Linked DNA regions of Xenopus tropicalis. The protein of the gene in region 4 binds, or shares a complex with, the protein of the main gene of each other region. Links are inferred from orthologs where the notes say so. Each region holds a gene or a part of one and is shown on either strand. Other genes may lie near its edges.

What was found. The genes of interacting proteins can lie anywhere in the genome.
Region 1: cbll1 (region 4) and zc3h13 share a complex: the UniProt entries of both Homo sapiens proteins name them as parts of the WMM complex. The link is inferred for Xenopus tropicalis from reciprocal best matches to the Homo sapiens genes CBLL1 and ZC3H13.
Region 2: cbll1 (region 4) and mettl14 share a complex: the UniProt entries of both Homo sapiens proteins name them as parts of the WMM complex. The link is inferred for Xenopus tropicalis from reciprocal best matches to the Homo sapiens genes CBLL1 and METTL14.
Region 3: cbll1 (region 4) and wtap share a complex: the UniProt entries of both Homo sapiens proteins name them as parts of the WMM complex. The link is inferred for Xenopus tropicalis from reciprocal best matches to the Homo sapiens genes CBLL1 and WTAP.

Annotation. Positions count from the first base shown.
Region 1 is NC_030678.2:134,297,301-134,300,800, reverse strand, and holds part of zc3h13 (zinc finger CCCH domain-containing protein 13), read left to right. Parts: intron 1-599; coding exon 600-1,109; intron 1,110-3,500. UniProt on the Homo sapiens protein: Associated component of the WMM complex, a complex that mediates N6-methyladenosine (m6A) methylation of RNAs, a modification that plays a role in the efficiency of mRNA splicing and RNA processing.
Region 2 is NC_030677.2:70,545,136-70,548,635, forward strand, and holds part of mettl14 (N6-adenosine-methyltransferase non-catalytic subunit), read left to right. Parts: intron 1-130; coding exon 131-247; intron 248-1,916; coding exon 1,917-2,127; intron 2,128-3,500. UniProt on the Homo sapiens protein: The METTL3-METTL14 heterodimer forms a N6-methyltransferase complex that methylates adenosine residues at the N(6) position of some mRNAs and regulates the circadian clock, differentiation of embryonic stem cells and cortical neurogenesis.
Region 3 is NC_030681.2:44,100,467-44,103,966, forward strand, and holds part of wtap (pre-mRNA-splicing regulator WTAP), read right to left. Parts: intron 3,171-3,500; coding exon 3,112-3,170; intron 1,239-3,111; coding exon 1,111-1,238; intron 1-1,110. UniProt on the Homo sapiens protein: Associated component of the WMM complex, a complex that mediates N6-methyladenosine (m6A) methylation of RNAs, a modification that plays a role in the efficiency of mRNA splicing and RNA processing.
Region 4 is NC_030679.2:76,284,477-76,287,976, reverse strand, and holds part of cbll1 (E3 ubiquitin-protein ligase Hakai), read left to right. Parts: intron 1-47; coding exon 48-89; intron 90-2,527; coding exon 2,528-3,500. UniProt on the Homo sapiens protein: E3 ubiquitin-protein ligase that mediates ubiquitination of several tyrosine-phosphorylated Src substrates, including CDH1, CTTN and DOK1. Targets CDH1 for endocytosis and degradation.

The sequences.
Region 1 (3,500 bases), on a different chromosome or scaffold from region 4:
AAAGAAGATCATTGTGAGAATCTATAAAAGTATAGGTCACTTTTTTATTGTATATTGGTTGACGTTTTTATATTGTTACTGCTGTCATTCCGGCCCAACTGAATTGACATAAGGACTTGAGAGGCCCTCTAGAGGGTACATATTGTTATAAGGTACTAATGTTGTAAAGTCAGCAGCATTTAAACTAATACTTTTTTATGCGTACCAGACTTAGGAAACATTAGTAGTAAATTAGTAGTAAAGAACCCCTTTGTACAAGAAAGTACTATAAGTACTGTAAAAACTTAACTTGGGGGAATGTCGGAATTAGCACATCCCACACCATGCTTTATTCCACACAGTTACATATCAAGGTAGTTGCTTTGGAATGCTTTACTTCTCTTGCAGGCCTTGTTTTTATTAATTATGTGGAGCAAGTATGCTCCTCATATGGAAGTCACCAAGAATAAAAGATTTCTTATTTGCTGCACAGAAACCCAGTTGTGTAGTTTCTTTAGTAGTAGAGACGTTTTACTATTTACACCTGCACACAGCTGTCAGTCTTATATTGATTGAGGAAAGATACCACAATAGTATAAATGTGTTTATTTGTTTAACAGATCGTCAGGATTCAAGAAGTCACAGTTCCAGAAGAAGTTCCCCTGAATCAGATCGTCAGGTGCATTCCAGATCTGGGTCATTTGACAGCCGGGAAAGAGCTTCCGAAAGAGAGCGTTACGAATATGAGAGAGAGCGTGACAAGGACAGAGAGAGAGAAAGGAGAGTTGGAAGACAGAGGGAGTGGGATCGGGAAGCTGATAAAGAATGGCCAAGAACCCGAGACCGTGACAGGATAAGAGAAAGAGAGCGTGAAAGAGACAGGAGGAGTGACATTGATAGGGAACGTGAGAAAGTTCTTCCTGACAGTACAGAGAAAGAACGAGTACGCCTTCTTGATATGCCACCCATTGCTGAGCCAAAACGTACTGATCTAAAGGAAAGGGACCTGGACAAAAATTATGATAATAGCAGCCGAAATATTTCAGCTGTGGATAAAATAGACCGAAACCCTGAAAACTCGCAGGATATCAGCAATAGCCGTAAAACTGAAAAGCCAGAGAGCTTTGATGGTAAGATTTTTTTATTATATCTTAAATTTTATTAATGTAAATTTTTTAATGAACCAATTAATATCTTTGCCCTTTTGCACACTAATGGCTTTTCGTAGAACAATTAGTGATTAATATAAGACACACATGTAGTGCAAAACACCAAATACACTTTGCAGTATATGATACTGCAGTGTGAAAACTACATTTGCCGTCACACACATACATTATATTTTTAAGCAAAAGTTTCCAAACTTCAACAAGAGTTGTTTGGCTTTCTTATGTAATGCGGCTGTTTTCTATGGGAGTAAAGTGGCCACTGTCAGTCATGCACCTGCATATGGACAGCTATTTTGGAATTGCTATTTTTCATGATATAGTTATTTATACCAGAAAAATATTTTATCTCAAACGTGCCAATATCTGAGAATTTTATGGAGATTTCTGTAGATCAAACACTCCCAGCAAATATTCAAAATATTGCAAACTTTAGATTCCAAAGCAAAAAATCTTGGAACATTAGGTTTATCCCAGGAAACCATATATTTTTGAAATGTGCACATTCTGCCGAATTCGAAATGGGTAACCATGTCTTTCTATTCCTTAGTACCAAACTACTAGAAATACTTTTGTGAACTTAGCAGTTATTATGAAAATTCTGAAAGATTGCCTCAAACCATCCACTTACAAGCATCTTATCTCCCACATAGCATTAGGTACCAAGAAAAAACCTCCTAATTAAGAAAGCCAAGGGTCCATTAAACATTTTGATGCCCATTATGCATAGGATTATTAAAGTATTTGGCATTTAGAGACCCAAAAATGAAGTTAGTGCATACATATTTCATGGCATATATTTCTACTACCAAAAAAAACCCTCAACTGATTTATGTGTAATAAAAGTGGCAAATAAGTAAGTTGACCCCAGAAAACTTTATATTTTCACAAAATACATATTCTTCCGAATTTAAAATGAGTAAATATATATTTGTATAGCAAAGCTAAGCTAAATGTAGCAGTTTTTATGTAATTTCTGAAAATTGTCTCAAAGCTTGCAATTTACCCTATTATATACCCCACATTTCGTAATGTAATAACATAAAACATTCTAAATATGAACGCCAGTTGTCTACTGAACAGTTTGATGCCCAATATGCATAGATTTAGCAAACTGTGGCATTCAGAGGCACCCAAATCAATATACAGGAGACAAAATTTCCATGGGCAAAAACAAGTAACAAAACAATGTGGAATGCAATAAAATAGCTAAAATCCAATAAAACCACTAAAATCAATGTCCCCCCCCCCCCCCCCCAACTTAGAAGTAATGCAGAACATAGAATCTACAATCTGTGGCAATTAGGTACTTTTAGTGACACAGAACATAGCATTTGCATTCTGTGGATTTAATGTAGGTTTAATGTTTATGCAGGCTAGTTCTTATGGCGAGGGCAGACAAAGCATTAATCCGCTTCTGTACGCAGCTCAGTGTGCGTGCATTAAAAGTTATGGCAACAACCAGAGTGTTCGCAGACAAAGCGGTGCGGATCAGCGGCTGGCCTGGAAAATACTAGCTTTTGCAGCTTTCGGGATTTTTAAAATTTTTTTTATAATTTTAGTTTATTGTAAGGAATTGTATACAGACAAGGCAGTACATCTAGGGGTATATTTATCATGCTGAGTAAAAAGTGGACTGAAGCATTACTGGTGATGTTGCCCAACAAATCAGCAATTAGATTTCAACAGTTAGAAAACTAAAGCAAAGCATCTGATTGGCTGCTATGAGCAGCATCACAGGTAATGTTTTTTACTTAACTTTTTACACAGCATAACAAATACACCCCTTAGAGTGTTCATTGTGTTCAATAAAGATTAAGTGTGGGGCTTAAGGAAGGAGAATTATTTATGTGCATGCACCTGCTTGGTATGAGGTTGCCGCTATGATCAAAAGAAGAGAGGGGGAGAGCTGATTAACACTGCTTTTTGGAACGCGATTCAGTAAGGGGCTGACTATAGGCAATGTTGAAGGTATTTCAAGGTAGGGAGGGGTCAAATATAATTTTGTTTAGCTGTCCATGTCATGTAGTACACACATCCAGAGGGGTTTAGTTCTCCTTTAAGTGCATGTGTCTTGTGAAGTTCTTCTCTTGGCCTTGCATTGGCACACACGCATAAAAAAGAAAAACATAAAACAAACAAGCCCTGCAACCACATCACATGTACAGGCTTTATGCCTTTTTATGGAACCATAATTGTTTGGCCCTCTGCTAAACAAATTGTTAAAAGGAAAAAACTGCATTAAAACGCAAAAAACACTAACTCAAAATCGTCATTGCTGGAATTTAAGTAAGCGCTCAGATACTGCAGAACTAAGGAAGAGGCTCAAGAGAACAAGCTTCTACCATCTCTACA
Region 2 (3,500 bases), on a different chromosome or scaffold from region 4:
GTATCCTAAGGCCTTAGTGTCATTTAGTCAGACATCCCAAGTCTCACAAAAGGATTGAACAGTGTATTGAGTATTTAATAAAATTAAAAATATATCTGTGAAAATATTTTCTTCTCTAAATGTCCTCTAGTGCTTGCGCAAATGGGGTTTTAGAAGATCAGAAGACATTTGTTGGATTAAAACAAACAAGGACAATCCTGGAAAAACAAAGACTTTAGACCCAAAGGCAATCTTCCAGAGGACAAAGGTATAGTGTTGTTTTACAGACACGTACTTTTTGTGTCACTGAAAATTTTGTGACCATGACCACATTTGTAGCCTCACTCATTACAAACTCAAGGCCCACATCTCCTGCAACTGGCTACATTGCAAGGTGAGGCAGAGGCTTAGGCATAATATGTTGGGTGCATGGGGTGGCAAAAAATGCAGAGCCCCCCAGAAAGCCAGTGTGACCTAGATCATTTCTAAACATGTTAATTAATATACATTAATATGACTGTCTTTGGTAAGCAACCTTAACCTGCTTCCTTAAAAATATACAAATGTTTATATAGTCACATTTAGATATTTATAAATAGTAAAGAGTCAATACATACCTAGTTATAGAATGGAGACCAGGCAATCCTGAATAGCACTTTTAGTTTCTTGGCTACATGAGATTTGATTTAACTATGACACATTTACCTGTAGGAATAATTCCATTTTGAGCAGCTTACATTGTCTATCCCAGATATTGATGCATATGTATGCACAATCTGTAAGAAATATAAAGCTTCTTAACACCAGTCTTGGATTGCGGAATTATTTTTCTAGCTTTTCAGCTGCTGCTTGGCAGTGCACATGCATATTGTTAGTCCCACAGAAGACAAGTTTCTGAACTTTTTTTTTTTCTACATTTGTGATGAAGTTTTCCAATAACTGGAAAGGAAAAGGGAATAGTTATTTATGTCATATGTTTAGACACCAGAAATGTTCATGTTTTCAATAGAAATTGCTACTTTTATTCATTGAGGCAGCATTAAGTTGAAATTATAGCCATTAGACTGACAATGCCATAACATCCTTTTAATTTCAGATTATTGTTCTATTTATCAAAGTCTGCATTCTCTGACTTTCTGATGAAGCTCTTCCCACACGAGCTCAGTTGATTGTGCAAGTTTAAAGACAGTAATCCACTTTCCTGTTTTTTCCCCGAATAGCTTTTGCATAAGTCAGTAGTATGTTTCACACTGCTGTCTTGCTGCATTATTAAATTTGCACCATTTACGCGCTAACCACAGAGATGGCGCAATGTTGTAAAAATCATAAACTTTTCTGGATGATTCTAGACTTTAGAACATTAGTGTACAGTGGCATAAGTACTGTGGGCCACGTGCAGGATTTGCTCCCAGGTTCTCCCTCCTCCCCAGCCCTTTCACCCACCATATACCTTTATGGCGGCTCCAGCAGGCCCTGATGCAATTGTACCCGCTGCACCCCTGGCAGTTACACCACTGTAAATATTTATTCTACAGAGGCTTCACAAGCAAATACCTACTTGTCTGGCCCTTGATAAGAGGTAATAGTCATCTTAATTTTTCATCTAACTATAATAGTAAAAGTCTTATATGCACCTTCTTCATTCTCTCCCATGTATTACTGGTTAAATATATGCATATATTAAATCCTATAATTGAAGCACTCTTCAAAAATGATATCTGCCTGAGGAAATAGTAAAAACAAATGAATAAGATTCTGCGCTCAGTACATAATAATCACTTTCAGATCTCCCCACAGAAATCTTGTTTGTAAAATGAAACAAAAGTAAGAACAACTGCCTGTTTTACTGTTAAATATACATTTTCCTTAGCACAAGTACAAGCATTATAATCACACAAGAGCTTTTAATTATTCTGTTTGTGGACGTCTATTTGCAGGAGCACTGCCTTATGGGTATCAAGGGAACAGTTCATCGCAGCACAGATGGAGATTTCATCCATGCAAATGTTGACATTGATCTCATCATCACAGAGGAGCCTGAAATTGGAAACATTGAAAAGCCAGTGGAGATTTTTCACATTATTGAGCATTTCTGCCTTGGAAGGAGACGGTTACACCTCTTTGGAAGGGATAGCACTATAAGGCCAGGTAAGGCTTCATCTAGAATGAGATTACATTCCTATTGCTGAATACATTAAATATATTGCGAATGCAATATTTGTGCTCTAACAATATAAAATGGCTGGCTCAGGGATAACCATATTGGCCCTTTATCTAATTCCAATGGGGGTTGCATTATAGCACATGTATCCACATCCGACAGGGAGGTGAGTGGACGTATAATCACGTGTGACAGGCAGCCTGGGATGGCAAATGTAAAAGCAGCTGTTTGTATGGCTGATGTAGATGGCAGAGAACACTGCTGCTGAATCTTTGCAGTGAATGAAACTGTTTGGTAATTGGACTGGTGGGAAATCGCTCAAGGCTATACTGTCCCACGGTGCTGTATAGAGAAGGTGAACCCTCAGTCTAATCTGAGTGTATCCAGGCAGCATTGTCTGCTTAATCACCAGTGTCCTTCAACTCTTAAGCACCCATAAATGGATAGGGTTGAGAAAATCATTTACCCACTGCGCATGCCACATATATTCACGCTGGTGTTCTTTCTTAGCCAGTTCTGTGCTTGTAAATTATGAACTTATGCCTTGCATTGAATAGTTTATATTAGTAAGCCAGCACTGTTACCTTAATACATTTATGGAACCAGTTCCCATGAATTGTTCTAATGCATTGCAATGGCAGTGGATTTATATTGGATAATTGTTTTGGATAATTTATACAAACTGCGCTTGTATTCAGACATTGAGTTTCGGCACAATGAACATTTTTGTTAGATCATATTTTAGATTTCTACCCTACTTTAATAGAAACATGGAATACGTGGAATACGTTATTGAAGTCACTTTTTCATATGGGAGCACCATATTTTGGTACATCCTTTGAGCCCAGTTTTTTGTGTTCTCTTGCTTTTTATTATTTATTATATTTTGGCTTTACACTGGTTCACACAGCCTTTGTAACTCACATTCTCTGTTATTGCAGTGTGCTTCTGTATTCTATATTTACTACACCAGATATCCTCGGAGGATGGAATCACAAGTCTGATATGCTTAGTGCTGCTGAGTTGCATGTCACAAAGTAGCTAATATACACAGTGTCACTTTTCTTGCAACTTATTTATTGTGACAAAAATACATTCACATTACATTCTGTGAATTTACAATCTGTTTCTTAAATATATTCCATATCTGGTATGTCATGGGAATGCAATGTGTGTTTATTGCCATGTGTTCCCCCCTACAAATGTTGCAATTTCTTACATCATATTTGTACTCATGTTAAATTATTTCTGCCTGTTCCCTGAATCTACCCTTTCATGGAGGCTCTGCTTTACAGTGTGTCAGAACAGAATGCCTAGGCTCTAGGGACTCCTATAAAATAAATGGAGATGATATACTTGG
Region 3 (3,500 bases), on a different chromosome or scaffold from region 4:
TTCAAATGTTGACAGTTACAAACATGTCAGCAATACCACAAAAGGCAATGTACTCTAAATAGCACTAAAAATCAAATTGCTGGGAGTTACAGAAAATACATACCAACCACTACATAAGCCTTGTGTTTAAATTGTATGCTTCCTACTTATCAATGAATATCTTCTTCCTATTTGCATTTTTAGATGTAGCAAGGAACTCAACATACTTCCAGCTCCTTACTATGTGTGATATTCACATAATACAGAGATTAACAACACATTTGACTCTCCTTTTTGGCTCTATAGAGGCAAATGAGAATCACTATGAAATAAATATTTTGTAAAATTACTAGAAACAGTACACCTAAACTTCCACACATGACATAATCCCAATACACCTATCTATAACATGTGAAAAGCATACGAGACAGTAAAGGCATCATTAGGCTAGGATTAATCAAACAAAATGTCAACCTACAATACAAATCTTGACAAGAAAAATATTTTCACTATCAAGAACATAATTTTAAAATTGTGTGTATATATATATATATATATATATATATATATATATATATGTGCAGATTGTCAGGAATAATCAGTATGAATGGTTTGAGATATTGAAGGGAAGTGAGGTGCAACCATAAATACAAAATAAATTTTGTATTTATGGTTGCACCTCACTTCCCTTCCCCATCCTGACAACGATCCTATGAGGATCAAAACGCGTTGATGCGATGATTAAATAAACAAGAAATTTTTACTTTACATTTTGATGCCGTGAATTTTATAACATTTATTGATGTGCACTGCAAAATTATTGCAGGTGCATAACAAAAAGCCAAATTATTTAATGACTCGGGAGGATGCTTAAATTGCTGTAGACACTGTCAGCGTATGTGAAAAAATAAATCTAAACCCCAAAAGTGCCCAGTTGAGTATTTTTGACATACTACTTTTTTTTTTTAAGAAGTTTTTCATCCCCACAAGATGTTAACTGCAGAAATAAGAAAACTGATGACAAAAACTTACGCTAGAAATATGCATCATTGATGCTGTGAACCAAGTGGTCTACTTTATTGCTATACTGAAAGTAAAAAAAAAAAAAAAAAAAACTGGGCCAACACTAACCGTGCATTCCTGCATCTCCTGTTCCTTCGTGGCCAGTCTCATCACCAATATATTTTCTCTTCGGGCAGAATCTTGCTGTTGCTGCTTTAGCTTCTCCTCTGACTCCCTCAGTCCAGTGACATCATTAGCTGAAATCATTAAAAATATTTTAATGGAATAGGCTTACCTTTAAGTGTAATGTAAAAGGGACTGTTCACTTCAAGATTACATTTTAGGTCTTTGAAATCAATATACGTTACAGTTGGTCTTTTATACACCTACATACACTTTGTTCTAAATAATGAATAGCACTTGTGTTTAAACAGTTTTCTACCTTTTTAATTAGAATAAAAGTCCATGTTTTTCCTATGACAAGGCAATCGCATACAATTGGTCTTTTTATTTTATTTTTTTGCCTTACATATCTGCATCTTTCCAGCTTTTATCAGGAATCACTGACCACTAACCCTTTAAAGCAAAAAAAAAAAAAAAAACCTATTTCTCCTTTAGGCTACAACTGCAGCAGGAAGCTATGAAGACCAAGCTAAAATGGCAGCTGCTATCTTAAACAAACGGAGGGAGCTTCTAGGGCTCTTTACTCAGGTATGGTAAAGCTTCCTGCAGAATAAATATATTGTTCTAGGTGGCACTAATGTGGCTAATATATTGGCAGTAAAATGCCAAAATGACTTTCCTTCTCCTTTAAAAATCTTCTTTAAAGCTCTTCTTAAACAAACCCCTCTATTCCCCCAGCTGCCATCTGTGTCAGGCATTTGGTAAGGAGAAGCTCATTAAACAGAAGACATATCAGTGGACTGGTATTGTTGATAAACTTATTTCCCACCTGACAGTTGCTCCTAAACACCAAAAAGCAGGAAAGTAAAAGAGCTATATATTTTAGTTTTGTTTAATTTAAAAAACATGAAATATTTCAACAAAAAGTTTAGTTTATTAAACTGAGGTTGAACAAAGTATAGACTTCTAGGGCAGTGTCAATAAAAAATTAGATTAACAATAACACGGTTATTCCTTCAACCCTGATAACCAGAAAGGCCAATTGAAGAAAACATACAAAATAGATAATTTGAGCCACTTGAATAGATGCTTTTAATAGAGACACCTATAAAATACTATAACAATAAGATTTCTCCTCATGCAATTTATGTAATAGAATGAGGCATTACTATATTTGACAACTGAATTACTTTTTTTTTTCTTCTAAATCTGTAAAAATTACTCTATTCAGCCCTCGGAATAACATACCTTTTTCTATGTATCCAGATTTGCCTTTTTTATTACAGCCAGTTCAACTAGTCTTTTACAGACTTCCTTGTCTGAAGCTCACCCACTTTCTGAGCACTCCTCCTCTCTCAGACTACGATAATCTCAAAAAGGTGCTGAATGCGTATGCCTGATTGATTTTAATTGGTGCAGAGGCAGTGAGCCTGCCCAGTAGGCACTTCTTTGAGCTTCATTGTCGTAAAGAGAAGTGCTCAATAAAAGCAAAAGGGGGCAGAGCTTCAAGCTAGACAAGGAAGTCTGTAAAAGGTGCAGGTCAGCTGCTGGTAATAGGGAAAGTAAATAAATCTGCAAGCAGGGATTAAGGGGTGTTATTTTGGGGTCTGTTTAAAGTCATTTTATGTGATTTTTAAAATAAATGGCTTACTATCCTTTAACAAAATTAGGGATACACCTGATCTTGTATTTGACTGAATTTAAACCTTTTAGAAAGGTGTCCTAATCCAACCAGTTAACATCACAACCTTAGATTACAAGTCAGTCATAGGCAGAAATTGTTTTCATACACAAAAGTATTCAATACTCAAAAAATATGAATTCAGTGTATCCCTAAACAAAACCTACTTTTCAAACAAGGCTCCACAACTGTAATCAGTCTATGTATTTCTCTGCATGAAACATACATGGCACAAAAGCAGCATAAGTATTACTTCACGTAGCTACATCTGCAAATGTGAACCTTCATTTTTTTTTAATGCATAAGAAGTATGATTTCCCACTTACAGTTAAGATCTGTGTATTTATTTTCCAGAGCTTGCACATATGCTTCAAACTGCTTCCACCTAGTTGTGGGAAAAAAACAAAATCTAATTAAAATACTGAATAAATTATCTGGGAAGTTAAAGTGGCAAGGTTTAACAACTAACTACACATTCAAAAGTGCATGAACTACTCTCTGCACCAACCTTTGTGAATTAGCAAAGATATTTAGGACAAGATCTCTAACCATATTTATGAATAAAATGATTAAAGGTGGTGACAGACGGGGAGATTAATAGCCCGCAACAAATCTCCCTTGTCGCGGGCAACTAATCTCCCTGAAACGTCATCCCACTGGCGATTTACATTCTAGCCGGTGGGATGGCATTTCGGGGAGATTTGTCGCACGGCGA
Region 4 (3,500 bases):
TTTTTTTTTATTTTGTGGTGTAATGTCTCTTTTTCCCCTCCCAAAAGAACACTTGTTGAAGAAAGTACTGACACCTTTAAGCGTATGAGGTAGGTTCTAATAGTTTAGCAATTTCTTAAGTAACTGCAAAGATATGGTTAGGAATGTTTTTTTCCCCAAAAAAATATTGCAGCATATTTGCTGATGAGCTACATTTCTTGATGTTAACACCTCAACTTACTTAAGAACAGCCTTGCCACACAGAATGTGGGGATGATTTTGTTGTAATTTTATGAGCGTGATTACATTTAATTCCTGATGAGCAAGGAATCTTTTTGTTTTAAAAATATAGCAGAGTTTGTTTTTTATTATGCATAAAACATGTTTCATCCTGAAAAACTTTTGAAAGCTTTAAAATAGCAATGTTCTGGATTGCTCTTTTTATTGTTGATTAGCACTGGTTCTTTATATGAGTTCACTGAAACTGATATATTGCAATAGTTTAGTTGGGCAAGAAGTATGGTACCTATTTTCTAGAATGCTCAAAAGCTGGGGTTTTCTGGCTCTGTGAACTGGATCACCATACGTAAAGAATAACTTTAATATTAAAGCCAATAAGGTTGTTTTGCCACTAATATGGATTAATGTTATCATAGATGTAATCAAGAACAAGACATTTTTATTGCAAAAAGAAAGGGAAAAAAAAGTAACTATTTGCTATACATGGAGTGTATGAGACATGACCTGTTGTTCGGAGCTTTCTCTACCTTACAAATTAGAGATCCCATACATTTTGTTATTGCGATTTTACTTTTAATAATTGTTGGGATAGGTTTGGTGCTTTGGCAATAACTAAAGGTTCAAGGTTGTATTCTGTTAAATGAGAAAAAGAAAGTGATGCTGAAATAGATGCAAGCTCAAATCTTTGCAATTGTGAGCTCTTAATGAAAAGGGCTGTCTTTATTTCTTATATCGATCAGTATTAGCGTAGTTGATGCACATCCTTCCGCATGTTGACACTTAAAAGATATAAAACATGCAGCCCAACATTAGGTAAATTTTGCAATTAGTTTTTTTTACTGATCTGGAACGGCTTTACTGATAAAATCAAAGCTGGAATAGGAATTTAAAAAACTTGAGTTTTCCTCAGAATTTACCTGATGTTTAACAATGTATGTTTCTGTATCCATTCAATTAACTACTTTTTTTCTGTAGCTAAACAGAGACAGATTATGGCTTAGCAACCTAAACAGTTTATTCACCCACAGGGATACACTTTTGTGATTTAGTGTAGCTGTTTATCATGCTATGTAAATGACTAGGTCTGATTCAACTTGATGCAGACTGAGACTATTTCCTACATCTGATAAGCACTAAGATACCGTAAGGCAACAGTGTGGTTTGAAAAATAGTTATTCTGCAGATACAGCATGCATGCTGGAAATGTGGTGCATCAGATATCAACTTTCTTCTGCTAGCTTGAGCACTTATGGATATGATTGCCCATCTTTCACACTTGCACAGGTATGCCTAAAATGTAAAATGCCTAAGTCTCGTGCTAACGATGCCTTTGGCTATGCTGGACCTTTTAGTATGAGTAGTTGAGTTAAAGATTTTTACTTTACTGCTCAAGCATATAGTTCCAACAGATTCAAAGGAGTACTGGCAACGGACACAAGATGTTGGTAAATAGGAGCAAGAGACCCTGCCCATTAACTTTATACAGTTTGCATCATCACCCATAGTGATTCCAGTTGCTTACCTGCTACCCTGACTGGCACTTCTTCTTCTTCAAAAAAAAAAAAGCACAGCCTTGGGCACTACTTACCAAGTGCCGAGTTGCAATTTTCTTTAAATCTCGTAGATCCTCCAATTCTTGGAGGACTGTGCTCCAGGCTGGTATGTTTTTTGAAGATGGGTTTTTTTTTTTTTTTGGAACTGCTGGGGGCTACTTAAGAACTTGGCAACCTAAGTTATTTTAATGTTCCATCATTTGGTAGGTTTCTAAAGGCAAATCATTTAGCTTCTATCAATATTGTAGTCTTAAATGTTTCTAGATGGTTTTGCCCGTTAAAACTCTTGCAGCCATTAAATTATGATGTGATGTAACTGCATGACTGTTTTTAGAGTATTGCGTCAATGCCTATCTTTTTGAGGCAGCATATGCAATTATATATGCATTATTTAAAGTTCTGGTAAATTATGACATTGCATATGCAATTGTAATTTATTATAAGCCCCAACTGGCGATAATTTGAAGGTTTTGGTGGCTTTGTCTTTCAAATAATTTAAATAACTCTGATAAAGTTTAATTTGCTGGGGTTTCATTTAGAAATCCCCAATTTTAATTGTAGTAAATATGCCTCTTTACTTTTAAAACTAGGAAATTTTCATACTAGGTTGGAATATTTTTTTCATCTTACGTTAAATTAATTTGAGGAAGATTTTCATTCATTAAGAAAATGTCTCAAATAGGACATCGATGTGAATATTAGTATGTTTCCAAGCAGCATTAAGAAACTTCTGTTTTTTTTTTTTTCCTTTTCAGTTGCAATGATCCCGTTCAACGCATTGAGCAGTGTGCACGTGGCTCTCTCTTCATGTGTAGCATTGTGCAAGGTTGCAAGAGAACATATTTATCTCAAAGAGATCTGCAGGCACACATTAACCACCGTCACATGAGAGCTACCAAGCCAACTGCCCGACCTCAGCCTGAGCCAATCCATCCTCCTTTGGCCCCACCCCCAGCAGAAATCCCAGATCGCTTTATAATGCCCCCAGATAAGCATCATCTAAGTCATATGCCTCCAAAACAACATATATTGATGCCACCTCCCCCAATGCAACATGTTCCTCATGAGCATTTCAGTCAACAACATGATGATATTCGGCCCTCTCCAGCAGAAATTTCCTTAGCCCCGCCTCCACCCCGCTCTGTTAATCAGGATGCTTTCAGGATATCTACTAGACAGCATAGCAACTTAATCACAGTGCCTATTCAGGATGATTCCAATTCTGGTGCCAGAGAAACTCCTCAGGCACCTGGTCCTACTCTACATCATCCAGAGTATCCAGGCCAACCAGTGGTGGCTCATCCTCACCATATAATGCCTCCACAGCAGCACTATGCTCCACCCCCTCCACCACCCCCTCCAATCAGTCATCCAATGCAACACCCTCCTCAGGCAGCTGGGACACCTCACATGGTTTACAGCCAAGGTCCTCCACCACCAATGACAACTGCTCCACCACCAATAACACCCCCACCGGGACATATAATTGCTCAAATCCCACCATACATGAATCATCCTCCTCCAGGACCTCCGCCACCACAACATGGTGGTCCACCAGTTAATGCTCCTCCTCCTCATCATTATAATCCTAGTTCTTTGCCTCAGTTCAATGAAGATCAAGGAACTCTAAGCCCTCCCTTCACACAACCTGGGGGAATGAGCCCTGGGATGTGGCCTGCTCCAAGAGGACCACCGCCACCCCCCCGAATGCAAGGGCCTCCTTCTCAA